Struthio camelus: one gene and its partner. The main gene of each other region encodes a partner of the protein of the gene in region 2 in a complex. Links are inferred from orthologs where the notes say so. Each region holds a gene or a part of one and is shown on either strand. Other genes may lie near its edges.

Evidence for each region. The genes of interacting proteins can lie anywhere in the genome.
Region 1: TRAPPC11 (region 2) and TRAPPC12 share a complex: the UniProt entries of both Homo sapiens proteins name them as parts of the multisubunit TRAPP (transport protein particle) complex. The link is inferred for Struthio camelus from reciprocal best matches to the Homo sapiens genes TRAPPC11 and TRAPPC12.

The regions. Positions count from the first base shown.
Region 1 is NC_090944.1:27,993,307-28,000,756, reverse strand, and holds the start of TRAPPC12 (trafficking protein particle complex subunit 12), read left to right. Parts: upstream 1-4,428; 5' UTR 4,429-4,519; coding exon 4,520-4,538; intron 4,539-4,680; coding exon 4,681-5,888; intron 5,889-7,450. Other genes in the region: EIPR1 (EARP and GARP complex-interacting protein 1), read right to left, coding at 3,639-3,680. UniProt on the Homo sapiens protein: Component of the TRAPP complex, which is involved in endoplasmic reticulum to Golgi apparatus trafficking at a very early stage.
Region 2 is NC_090945.1:50,752,795-50,760,800, forward strand, and holds the start of TRAPPC11 (trafficking protein particle complex subunit 11), read left to right. Parts: upstream 1-4,912; 5' UTR 4,913-5,043; coding exon 5,044-5,247; intron 5,248-6,201; coding exon 6,202-6,371; intron 6,372-6,721; coding exon 6,722-6,792; intron 6,793-7,942; coding exon 7,943-8,006. Other genes in the region: RWDD4 (RWD domain-containing protein 4), read right to left, coding at 661-775, 1,145-1,289, 1,403-1,512, 4,073-4,153, 4,424-4,447. UniProt on the Homo sapiens protein: Involved in endoplasmic reticulum to Golgi apparatus trafficking at a very early stage.

The sequences.
Region 1 (7,450 bases), on a different chromosome or scaffold from region 2:
GAACGTAGGCTGCACCACCAGGAATCAAGGTTGGCACTGCAACTGTGCCAAATAGCTAGCTATCAGGGAAAGCATCCTTCCATGCAGTTCATTTCCAAGGGTATAAGCATCATCCAATCGTCCCTAAACTAAAGCTAGTGCAGTATTTTCAGAAATTAAGCCATACTTATACTTATTGAAAGATATCCCTGTTTATGAACTCAAACAATACGATAGGGGAAAAATGATTAACCACTTGAACATATAGCCTGCTAAACAAAGGGTAAACTTACTGTATATTCCAAATTGGTAAATATAGGTCAACTCTGCAAAGAACAAGTAAGAACTGGATAACTTCGCTGGCAAACAATGGCTCTCAACTACACCCCTGAGATCCTGTTTATTACAGGCACATAACTCAGGATACTGATGAAGTCTACTAAGGTTCCTTTCAAAAGCATAACTTTTCTGTACTGAAGTGTTTTGCAGCTATTACTGTTGCCCCTTACTTCTTATCATGATCCATAGTCACATCACCCAGCCCTCATTTCATGAGAGGCAGCATCTCACGCTTTAACTCATTATCCATTACTCTGCAGTTGTCTCATTTTCACTGCAGTTGGAGGACCTGCTCCGGTTGTTGTCAAAGTTTTAAAAAACACCAAAGAATCACACATGCTAGAATTCACACAGATTATGCACGTTTGCACAACATTCATATAGCGTACTTAGACATTGAAGAGGCAGAAAACCACTCATTTTGAGAAACCACACTTTGTGGGTTATAATGGAACTGTGGGAGTGCATGAACCATATAAAAAGAAAAAGCTGCAGTCATCTGATAAAACAAGGGAGGGGAAAAAAGCAGATTAAAAAACCTAACTAATCAGGCAGAAAACTGAATTAATCATCAGTTTTAATCTTGCTTTGCCATTAGATGCTTAGCTTTTTCTCTGAAGAAAAGCTGCTTCTCACCGTTATTTGGTAAAACTTTTTGCCAAGTAATTACATATACCAAATAGTTATACACAATTGCAGGGCTCACGATTTATACCTTTAGTTTCCATTTTCATTCATCAGAACAGTGAATGATGGAGTTCTTCTAAGGAAGACACTCTTATTCTGCTGAGCTTTATTTTGATGAAAACTAGATTCAAATAAAAAAAATAGTAAATGATTTGTCTACTAGTAATCTTAGTTATGTCGATATATAAAAAATACTTGGCACGTAAAACTGATAATAAAATTATTGCAGTTTGATTTCCAGTAACTTAGTGAGTGGAGCACCCCAGAAGCAATATAAGCTTTATGCTGTCAAATTTTAAAGTCTGGGCACACTGGATCATATCAAAAGTATATCAGAGATTGGTACACTGTCTGTGACAGCAGTCAAAAGCAGGTTCTTACCGACTTTTGGAGACAAATGTGGTTTCGTAGTCTGCAATCCCTAGCAGAGCTTGTAGATTTCACAGTTTTACCACATATCGTTTTTATTCAAAGCAAGAAAGCAGAAAACAAGTTCCCCTCCCAACCCTTTTCTTCTTTTAAAAAATGCTCCATCATTTCAAATCTCAACTTTGAATAAACAAAGCCCTAAACTCTTTTTTAGAACTGAAGTAAAGTCTGGAAATAACTGAAAGAGCCAAACACAAGCAACAACAACAAAAATTTTTTTCAATTGCACCAAAAATTTTTTCTGAAGATATGCATCCCTCAGTTAAGCGCTTCTGATGTATGCTGGAGAGAAGTGTAAGCTGTGATGACAGAGCCATTACGAAACCAGGCTTAAAAAGAATAATAATATCTTTTACTAGACCTGGTGACACAAGTTAGAAAAACCATACCCATTTTAGGTTTCAGCCTCTCCATTAGAGACCGTCTCAAAAAGTACTGAGATGTAATTTGCTTTAAGGCCACATTGGCAGTTAATGGAGATCAAAAATAGAGCCTCCATCTCTACGCTGCTTTTCTGCCTTAGTCATAAAACCATCTTTTCTTCTCCTATTTTGTTTCTAAATGCATTAAGTGTAGACTCTTGGATTACAGCTATCCTCTTAGTCCTTTTGCTCCATCCTCCCATCAGATAGTCCTGTTACATACTCTGCAGGAAATCAAATGTCTACAGGAGATGTATTTTTTTTTTTTTTTTGGCAGGACCATGGGGGTCCCAGACAATGGTCTTTCCAAGATTTTGGAAGACTTATTTTACACAACTGAAAAAAGAAACTATGATTTTCATTAAAATACAAGATATAGTCTACTCTGTGATGAAAAAGAAATCTATGCATAAATTTAAGCTTTATATTAATTTTGAAGTAAGAGTTGCAGCCATCTTTAGCCAATCACAAAACGATATCATATTATGAAGACTCTAGCAGATCTAACATATACTACAGATCAATGTTTACACTAACTAGTATAGAAATGGAAAACAAAATAAAACTACAGTTTGCTAAAGAGATTTGTCGATACAGTCCGGATTACTGAGCATATAACTAAATAGGCTGGACATTAAAACAGGACATCAAAACCCAGCCCAGGGAGCCACTGCAGGTTGCCAGAACACGTTCCATGAGCACTTTGGTACAGGCGGCTATAAAATATCTGCATGTGTATACATACAATTACTTAGATAACCCCATCCACTGCAAAATGAAAGTGTTGTTCTGTCAGCTGCAGGAGGAACACAGCACCTCCTGTTGATACTACAACAATGATGGTAACCCAGGCATTGCCAAATGGAACATGTAAGAGCTGAGTAAAAACTTAATTGTGGAAAAGCATTATAAATTAGGAGCTCTCTCATCTATGCAACTGTTTAACCATTTATTCTACTAGAACTCATACAAAGTTGTACGTGACATCTGTGCTCCTCTACAAAGAGGATCAACAAATTCAAAAGTTATTAAGAGTAACACAGGTAGGTAGCAGGATCACAGCATCATCTCCCTGTTGCTAGAATCAGCGATGTGACGGCCAAATTCATGCTGTGGGACAAATCCAACAATGCAGAAGCTACATCCAGAAATATCTACAAACATTAAGTAGTTCAACAGTTGGGTATAACCTAATAAAATCTAAAATTCATTGGAAACAGCTATATTGCCCTCTTCTCACAAGATTTTTTTTTTTTTTTTGCTTAGTCTGCAACTGGAAACCAACCACAGGAACATCCTTGAGATCCCCGGTGTTCCCCAGTCATCCCAGCAGGAGACAAGGCCTTCTCCAGACGGGGACATGCAATTGCTGACAGAGCAGAAGACCAACAGCCGGGCTGAACGCGACCGTTCAGGAAGCCAACCCACAAGCCCTGCTGGCACCGCCCTGACGCATTCACCGTGCAAAGCGCCAAGTTTGGCGGCAGGCACCAACTCCTGCCCCGTGCTCACCCGCTCACGGCCCGGCGCTGCCGCAGGGCCGTGGTAGGGGCGCGGCCGGCGAGGCGCAGCGGCGGGCGGCGCGTCCGGCCTCGCCTCACCCCGCCGCCGCCTCCCGCTGGGCACCGCCAGCGCCGCGCCGCGCCGGCCTCCGGGGCGGCCCCGCGGCTCTACGCGAGGGCCCGGCACCCCCGCACGGCCCGGCACCCCGCCCGGCCCCACAGGCAGCGCGCCTGAGGACCAGGCAGGCCCCGCCGCCACCGCCGGCCCCTCCTCGCCCACCTGGAACTCCAGCCCGTAGATCACCGGCGCGTCGTCCTCCATAGCTGCCCGCCGCCGCCGCCCGCTCGCCTCTCCCCCAGCCTTTCTGACCCTCGGCGCTGCCCGTCGGCCGCCGCTTCCGGGAGGCGCGTTGGCGCAGGCGCCGCCCGCCCGCCCGGCCCGCGGCGCAGGCGCGGTGGGAGCGGCGCTCGGCGCGGCGGCGGTGCTGGCAGTGCGGCGGTCGGCGGGGCGGCGCTGCGCTGCGCTGCGCTGCGCTGCGCTGAGGTGAGGGGCGGGGCAGGCGCGCAGCGCGGCGGTTGCCGTCGCTGCGGCGGCCCCTCGCCGGCCGGGGACCGCCCGGGTGGGCGCTGAGGCGGCCCGGGGGGCGGCGGGCCCGAGGAAGGGCGGCGGCTCCGTCCGCACCGCGCCGCGGGGAGGCGGCGGCGGCGGTGGCGGAGGCCGCTCCCAGCGCGGGCGGCCGCGCTGTGCCCGGCGCAGTGCAGCCGCGAGAGCCGGCTCCGAGCCCGGCAGCGGCCGCCCGGCTGGGCCTGGAGCAGGGCCGGGCCGAGGGCCCGGGCCCGGTCTGCGCGGCGGGCGGGGGAAGCGCCGCTACCTGCAGCCTCGCTGAGGTCCCGGCTGCCGCCAGAGCTTCTGCGGGGCCGCCTGGGCTGGCCCTGGCTTCAGCAGCCCCTGGCGACAGCTGCGGCTCCGCCGGGACTGAACCCGCTCTTCCCTTCTCGCAGACTGGGGCTGAGTTAATCTTTCCAAGTATTTGGCCTTTGCGAGGCCAAATACCTTTTTTTTTTTTTTTTTAAACCTGTGTTTCATCGGAAGCATTTGCTCTTGAATCCTAGTATTTTGGGACTTCAGAACAGTAAAGAATAAAGAGAAGACCTTTTCTTATGATGAATTTATTCTGTGGTAAATGCCGAGAGAAATGTCAAATAGTGAAGTGGTTGTATTTTTAAATCAAGTATTTGTTTAGCTGTTGAGTTTCAGGATAGTGATTTTGACTAGGGCTTCAGTAGCAGAACTAATTCTTCCTTCATTTTTCTTTCTTTAGTTGCAATGGAAAGTAATGGGAGTAATGCTAAGGATGCTAAGAACGCTTCAGATGAAGAGGACAGTGGAGACAGAGTTCAGCAGAAAACTCGGGAAGATATTCTCTTTCATGAGGAAACCATTGATCTTGGCGGAGACGAATTTGAGTCTGAAGGGAATGAAACCGTATCAGAAGACTCTAATAATTTTATAGATAAACTTAATGAACAAATGATGGAGAGTGTCATTATTTCAGATTCTCCAAACAACAGTGAAGATGACACTGGTGACCTTGGTTGTCTGCAGGAGATTGTAGAACAAATGGAAGCCAAAGACAACCAAAAAACACAAGCAGAAGTGGGTAAGGAAGAGTTTTTAAGTAATGAGAGTGAAACTGAACATGAAGAAACACCCAAAGACATTTCTGAGATTGGAACAGATGATCAGACATCTTTAAAGGAAGAATCAATTCAGGAAGCAGTGAAAGAGGAACTGAAATTGGTAAATAACATTCCTGTTGGAACAAGACCAAGTGATACTGATGAAAGCAAACCTAAGGACCAGCTATCATCACCCAGTACTGGCAAACCGACTCCTGAAGCTGAGCCTATCCCTGTGTGTACCATTTTCAGCCAAGCAAACAATGTTAATACTCAGCCACAGTTGTTCCTGCATGATGGTTTTGAGCCTCAGATGGTAAAATCTCCCAGTTTTAGTAGTATAACTGAGACTCCAGTGAAGTCTAATCCACAGGTAGTTCAACCAAGTCCTAGTCTAAGCAAGTTTTTTGGTGATACTGTTAACACTAATACTTTAGGTTCTGATTTTTTTGATTCATTTACCACATCCAGTTTTATTTCTGTCAGTAATCCCAATGCAAGCTCTTCAGTCCCAGAACAAATGTCCTCTATTTCTTCCACTGGAGACAGTTCTCATGCTTCGCCTGACCCTACTTTTTCTCTGGGAAATGGGAGAACTGAAGCAGGTGGTCCTCCAGAAATATCTCAATCCCCCAAGCCCTTCTCACAAATCCAGGCTGTTTTTGCTGGGAGTGACGACCCTTTTGCCACAGCCTTGAATATGAGTGAACTAGACAGAAGAAATGATGCTTGGCTCCCTAGTGAGGAAACTAGAAACGTTCTAATTTCAGTTGCCACACAACAATACAGCACTGTGTTCATAGACAAAGAGAATCTCACCATGCCCGGATTAAAATTTGATAATATCCAGGTAAGAGTCTGTGATTATATGTTAGTCTCTGAATATATTTTAGAAATATTGAATAAGAGCTTTCCAATAGTTGTTACATCATCTTAGTGCTTCATATTGTTGCCTAGGGGCACCTTGTTTGTATTACTCCAATCCTTATCAGAAAATTTAGTGTGACTGCCTACTCATACGTGAAAGGACTAAAATAAGATCTGATGTATTCGTAGTGAAATTCTTTGGGTACATTGAAGACCAGTGTTGACAGCTTACGTAGAATCCGAAGCTGGTTGCTATTTTTAAGTCTTTTCAGTTAGTTTCGGCCCGTTCTAGTTGGAAAGATTATGCTCAGATTTGGAATATAAACTAAATCAGAATGCTGTCCTGTGAAGTCTGAAGGCAGACAGCTTTGTTTGCTTGTGGAATTCACTGTTGCAACCAAGCTGGAAAGAACGTTTTTTACAGTGATGTTCACAGTGCTGTGGATAATGTTGACACTGACTGGAATTGCATCATTTATATCTTTCCTAAGCAGTGGAAAGGCGTAAGCTATAGGAAAGATGAGTGCTAGAGCCAGCTGCTGGGAAGGAGCGGCATTCCAATTAGATCTTGAAGGGAAGAGCATAGTAGTGGAAACCCATTTCCTTCTCTTGTACCAGAGTTCACAACTGATGAGAAAGCATAAGGCTTTTCTTCAGAGTTCGGAGAAGTTTTACTTAGATCTGTTAAACGCTTCTAGTGAAGGAATTATATATCCTGGCAGCTCAGCAAAGCCAAATGGAGTTTTTTCTTGAAATAGGCAAATCCTACTTTTCCATATCTACGTCTGAATAGTAGAGTTGTCATCTAGAGAGGTAGTGTTGAGGGTTCAGATATTTAAGCCTTAATAATAGCATAACAAAGATTATCAGTTGGTAGCAGAATAAGGGTTCTTGCAGAACGGTCTGCAAGAACTTCTCAATTTGCAGTAACTATCGGAAAAGTTCCTGGAGTGAAAGTAGTTCGGACTTGTACCTGAATTATTTAAAAAATCTTAAGTTTCCTTTTTTGTGTCTGTCACTGAAGCAACAAATGAAAGATTTAGACATACACCATGCTGCTGCTGCTGCTGCTTCTTGGGTTAGCTTTATTTTAAAACGTTTGATTGTCATTGTAGAACCCAATCATTAGTGTGAAAGAAAATACTGTGGTAATATGCACCTCCTCCTCTACTTCATTCTACCTTCCCAAAAAATCACTTAGAGCTTGATGAGTAATTCAAGATTGTAATATTTCTCTCCTAACAGCTAATGAATGAAAAGAAAGAATATTTTCTTCCATGAGCCCAAAGGACAAGGTCCCTCTTATTGTGGCCCTCCATTTTTGCAATAGTTCTTTCTCGCTTTCTTCAGTTGAGTCAAGGCTTAAAAGGTTACTTGCACTGATCATCCCCTGAATCTAGGTCATATGCATATATGCAGATGTACCATTCAGTACATCATTGAAAAGAAGACATTTCAGCTGACCCGCTGTAAAATCAAGGAAGGACTCAAAGGGGATTCCTGCTACTTTCTTCATGGATTACTGTTTATAAACAGCTACATAGA
Region 2 (8,006 bases):
GGAAGACCAGTATTTAGGATGCCAGTTATGCATTTAGAATAGGTAAATGATAAGCAGAAATTCCTATCACAGAGTATAAATTATTGCTGCAGTAGGATAGTATCATCCAGATCATTAAAAAAATTAAGTGGGAACACATACAAATCCTCTGCAGAATCAGTTAAAAAGCTGAACATTTTTCAATTAACACATCATTTCATTAAAAGCAGAGAGCGTCTGCAGAAGCAGCTCTATTTTGAGAATATAAACTAAGTTAAATGTTTTAGCATTGTGATCTGAAAAATAACGTTACCATTTAGAAATTACGTTCTTAATAACGTGATTTACTTATCAGGGCCCGTTAACAAAACGCACACCTTTTAGATGTCCCAAATGCTCTCCCCAAATAATATTTTCGAAAATTGCACTTTTGTTACAAATTAAAAAGAAATAATAATAATAACAAAAGATATCTTAAAATTTGTACTCTGTAGGAAGCTGTTTTGATCAGAACTAACATTTCACATAATTCATGTAAAATAAGTAAAACAGAGATCATAGATTTAAAGTAATCAATTTTATAAGCAAAGAGACTACTGATCCTGATTCCAGCAAGACGTCACTGCTATAAAAGTTAGACTCCCATACTGCTCAAACAAAACAGCGTTACAGCGAACAAACCTGTTTTGTCAGCTAGCTTTCGTTTCTGAGTTTTGGATAACTGCTCCTTTTTATCTTTCTTCTTACTTGCTGGCACATCAGGAGTTCCAATTGCAATACTATTGCTTGCTGAAGTCTGAGAAGGATAAAAATTGCTATTAATATTTTGCATTCACCTATCATACTTAAGAAGCCAGTATAAATACAGAATGAAGATATCTGAATATGATTACTGAACCAGACCTACTGAAATATCTTGACTGTCATATATATATATATATAAAAATATATATAGAAAAATTATGACCACAGAACATTGTGGCACCATATTCCATGTGCCACTGTTTACTTACTAACATGTTTATATGCAGTATACTGATTAACATGTTAAAGACGGAATGATAAAGTATTTAGAGTTCTAATAACCATTTTTTGCTATTTACATATAAAATATTTGAGAAGTGATTTAAAAGCAATAGATTAGGATCTCAGTTTATCTACTTACCACAGTGTTAACAGGCTGATTTTCCATGAACAATTCTTTATTATCTTTGGCATATTCAAAAAGCGTATACGTCATAGCAGTTCCAAGATTAGCTTCAACTTCTACCATTAATTTATCCAATATGCTTTGTTTAACTGTTGAAGATCTAAAAGAAATCATAAAATTCAGTTACAATCTTGACAGAAGAAGAAAAGTTTGTCAACCAACAAATCTCCCCAATATATAAAAATAGGGAGTGAAGCTGTCCTAAATATTTACATTGTGTTGTTGAAGAAAGCATCCATCGATATGACTGGTGCTGTTTGTGGATATGTTTCTGGCCAAGAAACTTCTATTAGAAAGGCTTTGGGATCTCCATTTTCACCTATCTGGAGGGAGAAGAAAAACCTCATAAATTAACAGTTTTCAGTTGCTCATTAAAGATTACAATGCCAGTATGTGCATCTTTCACTTAAGACTATTGAAATTTCTTCTGAAGATAACAACTATTTTCATGCTATTACCTGTCAGAAAATAAAGCTCTTATCTAGAAAAGAAGTATTACATATGAACATTAACCTCTACTCTGCAGTTTTCATCCTATGAAAATGGAGCAGAAGCATTCTAAGTTATTTTTATGGAGATGTTGCTTGGTTTTAAATGCTTCTTTGTAGTGTCTACAAGGCAAATACTACACAATCATATATGAGAAAAGAAAATATGAAACCTTCTTTTTTCTCCATTATGAAAATAAACCATAACACAGTGGTGAAATACAGAACAAAATAAATTAATGACCTAAGACAGCACAAGTAATAGGTAAAAATTTTAGTATTTTTGTCTTACCCTACAGATATTTTAGCTTACAATAAGAAAGAATGACTCAAAAGAACAGTCAAGAAGCCAGTAGAATGAAACTAGGCGGAAAAGAAAAAAAAAAACATAACGTTATGTTAAAAAAGGCTCACTTTAACCGAAATAACATCTAAGTCAAACACTCTCTCAAACACTTAGCTTTAGTGATTCATTTAAATTGTATTTATGATCCTTACGATTATGTTAACTTCTGTGAAATAAAAACTAAAACAATTTTTTACAGAAAATTAGTATAGGCTAACAAAAATGTACCACAGAAAAAGAAATAAACATTTCATACATGGATTTGTTACACTACTGTAATTAAGTTGGTTTAGTTAGTATTTTAAAACCACAAGAAGAATTTCCTTAATTTTAGAAGCGTCAAAATCTGGCTTCATCGACCTATGCGGAATGAAGTGCAGTCAAAAAAAATTCCTAATCGAGACAAGGCTACTGCACTTTAAAATGGTTCAAAATTCAAATGATCCCATTTCAATATTTTGAAATCAGTGTTTTTCATTTTGTTTACGGTCTCTGTGTCAGCAGAGTAGACTAAGTGATATTCAGTGGCATCTGTTTTAGGGTTAAAGGCATTAAATCAGGACTCTGCTACATTTATCAAGACATCATCCACGGTGAAGCAGTCCACTTCCCAGAGCCACCATGAAGAGAACTGGTGGTATGCTTTACAGAGTTTTCCTCATGTCAGGAAAACACTGCCTGCACATTACAGAGTAAAACCATAGAGAAAGATGCATGGTTACCACTCCTCCTGTCAGTGCAGCCTGCAAATTGGGCAGCCTTACTCTGAATGATGCTGCTACATTTTCCTCAGGATTTGAAAAGTCTTTCTTTAATCTCAATTTTTTTAGCACAGTGATTACAAAATACCTATGTGGTAGGCAAATGAGGTTCAGAAAAAGAGCATATTAATTCTTTCAACTTTATCATGCAGTTAATCGTACTATACTATCTTATAATGCACATTTTCTTTCACAAGAAATATGTGCTATGGTCTCTATCTGACACTAAGTATATAATATTTAAATTGGGTTCTCCTAATTTTTCCATGATTATTCTCTGTCTATGAAAAATTAGCAAGGACAAAAGCTAGCCAAATGTAGAATGCAACATTGTATGTAGGCAGGTAGGCAGGCTACATTTACTCTGCTGAGAACAAAAAATTTGCAAAGAAGCAGTCCTATCAATAAAGGAAGACTGCACTTGCATGGGTGGGATTCAAGTGCTATTTCCTAATCAACCTTTCTCATTACAATTAAAGGTGCTATTCTGAAGTCTTAAGAAATCATCAAAATGTTTTAGACGCCTACACCCCACTTGAGGGACACAGCAAGTTCAGAGTTTTTGTCCCATGTGCACCTAAGTTTTCATCAGTGAAGTTCTCTGACAGTCCAAAGGTTTGCCTCAGCCCACGCCCAGGAGAACTTCCAATTCATCATATTTGAGAAAGACGGCAAGAAATTCATGCCAAAGTGAATTGCAAACCTCAAACTAGAACCTCCTGCACTTTTCCCCAAAGCCAATTACACCAGTATACATACCGAAAGCATTTTGTGCATTTTCCTCCTTAGCAGCTAGAAAAGGCACATAAACTACCCCCAGAGAGAAAATGAGAACCTTGCAACTGAGCAATAAGGAAGGCGCAGACTTTACACATACGCTTTTCTGTAACTGTCATTTCCTACTGGCTATTGCAAGTATTACTCGGCATGCTCTGGCCAGTTTGACAGTTCTGTGCGTTACATACGCTATGCGTTAGACAGATGTGCAAGCAGATTACCTAGTTAAGGGATAATAAACGCACACTGGAGGCAGGTGCCTAAATATTAAGCGGTGTGATATCAAGCATCACCGTACCAAAGATTCTGGAACAGCAGCCGACAGATCTAGCCTTTGGTGCCTTTACAGCCTGTGGAGCACCCCTTTGCGTTACAAAAACTGCGCTGTACCTACAAAACGCACAGAGTAACGTCACGCCGAAGAGGATGTTGCACCGTCCGACAGGAAAACATCTGCGTCGCGCGGGCAGCAACGCCTTGCCCCGACCTACAGAACTTCACGCTGCCTTACCCTGTACTGGAAGGAAACCGGGCTCAGCTCCCTGAAACACGCGTCTCCTTCGTATATAGACCGCAACGCTTCCAGTTCCATCTGGAGGAAACACGAGAGAGCGATTAGCCATTTCAGCCGGGGGGGGGGGGGCGAAGCTCAAGACGCGGCCCCGGGGCAAGGCACGACGCTAGCTCCCCGGCCGAGGCCGGCAGCGCCCGGCACGGCCCGGCGCCAGGGGGCCTACCTTCCTGACGCCTGCCCGCGCCGCCCCTGCCGCGCAGGCCGCTTCCGGCCGCCGCCTGCCCTGGGCGCCCCCTGCCCGCACGCCAGGCCCCTCCCGAGGCGGGAAAGGCCGCCGGCGGACCTCACCTCCTGGTCCTCGTTGGCCGCCATGTCGCGCGCGCGGCGGGGGGAGGCGGCGGCGGCGGCGGCCGGAGGCCGGAGGCAGCGGCGGCCCCCTCCGCCCCCGCCCCCGCGGCCGGTTCGCCCCGGCAGGACCCCGCTGTCGCACAGGCAGCGCGGCGCGCAGGCGCGGAACGGCTGAGCGGCCCCGCCCTCCCCCCCCGCGAGATGGCATCACCTCACCTCATTGGCTCTTTTCTTCTTCCCGGCCTCACCTCCCCCGCCCCTCTCTTCCCGTTGGCTGGCGCCGCCAGCCTCGCCTCGCTTCCTTCTCCCGCTGACTGGCTGCTTCTCCAGTGTCGTCAGCACCCGTGTCCCCTCTGAGTGGCTGGAGGTGGGGGAGCAGGGGCACCTATTGGTTGCTCGTGCTGCCCGTCCGATTCCCGGCACTTGCTTCGGCCCGCCCTCGCCCAGCCGCTCCTAGGCGGCGGCGGTGGCGGTGGCGGTGGCGGTGGCGGGCTGTGTGGGGTTGAGCTCGCCGCGGTGAGCGGGGCCGGGCCGGGAGCGGGGCGCCGAGCCGAGCCGAGCGGCGGCGGCCGCCTGAGGTGCCGGTGCCGCCCTGCCGGCCGCGCGCGCCGAGGCCGAGGATGACGCCGGCGCAGTGGGACTTCCCGGTGGAGCTGTGCTGCCGGCCCATGGCCTTCGTCACCCTCACCGGCCTGGACGTGGTGTACAACGCCGTGCACCGCGCCGTCTGGGACGCCTTCTGCGCCAACCGCCGCGCCGACCGCGTGCCCATCTCCTTCAAGGTGCTGCCCGGCGACCACGAGTACCCCAAGTGCCGCACGAAGGTAGCCGCCGGCCGGCCTCGGGCCCTGTGCGCGGGGGCGGGCGCGCAGGCCGGCGGCGTGGCCCGGGGAGGACACGGGGGGGGGGGGGTCCGCCCCGGTGCGCCGTGTCCACCGCTCGCTGAGCTGCTAACGGCCCGGGTGCCGCTCCCTCAGCTGGTGTGAGGGGAAACGGGGGAGCCTGGGGGCCTGGGAAGGCTGTTGGCGCCTTTCGGCCGCCGTGGGGAGGGGGAGCCGCGGTTGCCGTGGTACGGATGTGTGGGGAACCAGGTGGCCTTACTTCAGGAGCGGCGAGCAGAGCACGTTAACGGGACTTGCCGTAAAAGCGCTTGCCCGTCAGTTGTTCTGTTTTTAAGGTACTTGCAAAGTTTGAGCTGTAATGAAACCTTAAGTTGAACGCTAGAAAACCAAGTATTTGAAATTAGCGTGTCCTGGAAAAAGTGAAGTCTTTACCTGAGTGGGACACAGCAGAAGGAGTTGTTGTGCTCTATTTTCTGCTTTGCAGGGGCAGTTAAGAAGCAATATCGGTGGGTTTGATCCTTGGAAAGCCACGTAATTCAGTGATGCTGGCAAGAAACTAAACCTCAAACCGGTTTCTCTTTTCTTGTTTTGGATCCTTTTGACAGCTTCTTGAGCAAATGGGAAACCCTTTGCAAAATGGGCCTAGTACTTCACAGAAGCGCGTGAAACACTTCTGAACCTAACCCTTTTGTAAAGTCTACCTGGAATCTCTCGTTCTTGGTTACTCGTGTCTCTGCCATCTGGCTCTGATGCCTGGGAGCGAGGTGTATGTCCTGCTTGTTAGGAGACAAAGGCTTGAAGGGAAGAATGTCAAAGGAAAGATGACAAACGTATCCCCAAGTAGCAAGGATGTACAGGCAATACCCCTTCTCCTACTGTACTGAAAGGACCATAAACTGACCTGATGGCTTGCTTTAATGTGTTAAATATTTTCAGAGAACGTCCTATGAGTGGTATATTCCGAAAGGTATCCTGAAGACCGGTTGGATGAACAAACACCTGAATTTGGTTCCAGCACTTGTTGTGGTGTTCTATGAACTAGACTGGGAGGAGCCACAATGGAAAGAAAAACAGTCTGAATGTGCTACTCGAGTTGAAATTGTCAGGTAGAGCTATTTTGTCTAGTTCGTGATGTACTACAAGCTAACGGCGATGTGTAAATTGCAGAATCCTTGTGGCATTATAAAGCATAAATATTTTTTTTCTTAGGCACAAATTCAGGGCAACTCAAACTCCTTAACTATTGTTTTCTAAACTCAGCACAACTGTTCTCTCCCATGTGAGCAAAGAAGAGAGCACTGCATTCTGTGGATGATGCAGTGTATTGTTGCATTCGCTTTTATTTCTCGTATACAGTCTTTTAATGCTTCCATCTAAATTGAAATCTCATTTTCTTCTGATTATTTACAAACATAGGATGAGACCTTGACATTATGTTATGTTATTTTTATTTTAGGCAAAGTTTGCAGGGACGAAATACGAAAGTTGCTGTGGTTTTGATTCAGAAAAAAACACCGTTACCTCCAGGTACTAGAAAGCTAATTAAACTGCTCTGTATACAGTTGTGATGATCTCATTTTTCCAGAAGGCCTGAACTGACCATCGTTTGTCACATTATCTACGGTTCTTAATATATTATCATTTATGTGTGTAAAATGCATTTGTGGCTGCACTGAGCTGTACGAATGGAGTGAACGCTCAAGGCAGCTGACCCTAAAAATCTGATGCTTCTGTTTTTGACTATTTCCTCCGAAGTCCAAGTGAAGCTTTTGATACTGTGTATCAAAAATGATATGTTAGTGTAATATGCATAATGTGTCTCCTTGTAAGTAGTCTGTATTTTAAAGCTTTCTGGAGATAAAGGAAAAAAAACATAAAAGTAATGAGAGCTTAGAGGAAGGGCATCTGGTAACTACGGAACCCTTTAGTTTAAGACTATTCAAACACTGCTAGTGTTTATCAATAAAATTTTGGAGCATAAGGTAGGACTGCTTGTTAAGTTCATTCATGCCTTCTCAGCTAGCTTCTCTCTGGATCAGCCAACTTTTAGGCCATACCTGTTTGATAGACATCTGGCAGGGAAGTCATGGAATTTCTCGGAAGGCTCCTTCTCTGCTCTGGATTTAAAGGAGAGCAAATTCCCCTTAATGGAGGGGCGAAGGAGTCTTTAAAAGACAAGATCCAAAGTAGGGAATGTGGACAAAAAACACATGACTTAAGTGGAATTGTGGAATTTGGTGGGTTTTAATTTTAAATTTCACTCAAGCTGCTACCTCAGCTCTAGCTGCACGCTCTCTAGCGTTTGGTTAAGGTAGGGTGTTTTGGTGAGGGGTGTGTTTATGTGGGTTTTTTTTTTTGTTTGTTTGTTTTCTCTCCATCTGCTTCTGGATGCCATTTTAGTCTTCAAGATACAGGATGTTTATCTGTGTGGGAGATTAAAAATTTAAAGAAATATTTGTGACATGCTTCTACCTTATTACAGAAGCTTTCTGGAGTGGCTTAGCTAGCAATCTCTTCCACTGGATGAAGCATGTAGTGTTCTGAATGAAGTCAAGAAGGAACACGTACTCAATGTTAGGTGTATTAAATTTTCCATACGTTGTATTGGTCAAGCTTTTAGAGCTAGTTTGACCTTGCACTACACAGTGCTTACTTGTGCTTTCCTTGGCTTCACTAGGGGAAGATGTTATTGCGTCGGAGAGGGCAGCAGCTTTGTGTAATGCTTGTGACCTTTCTGGAAA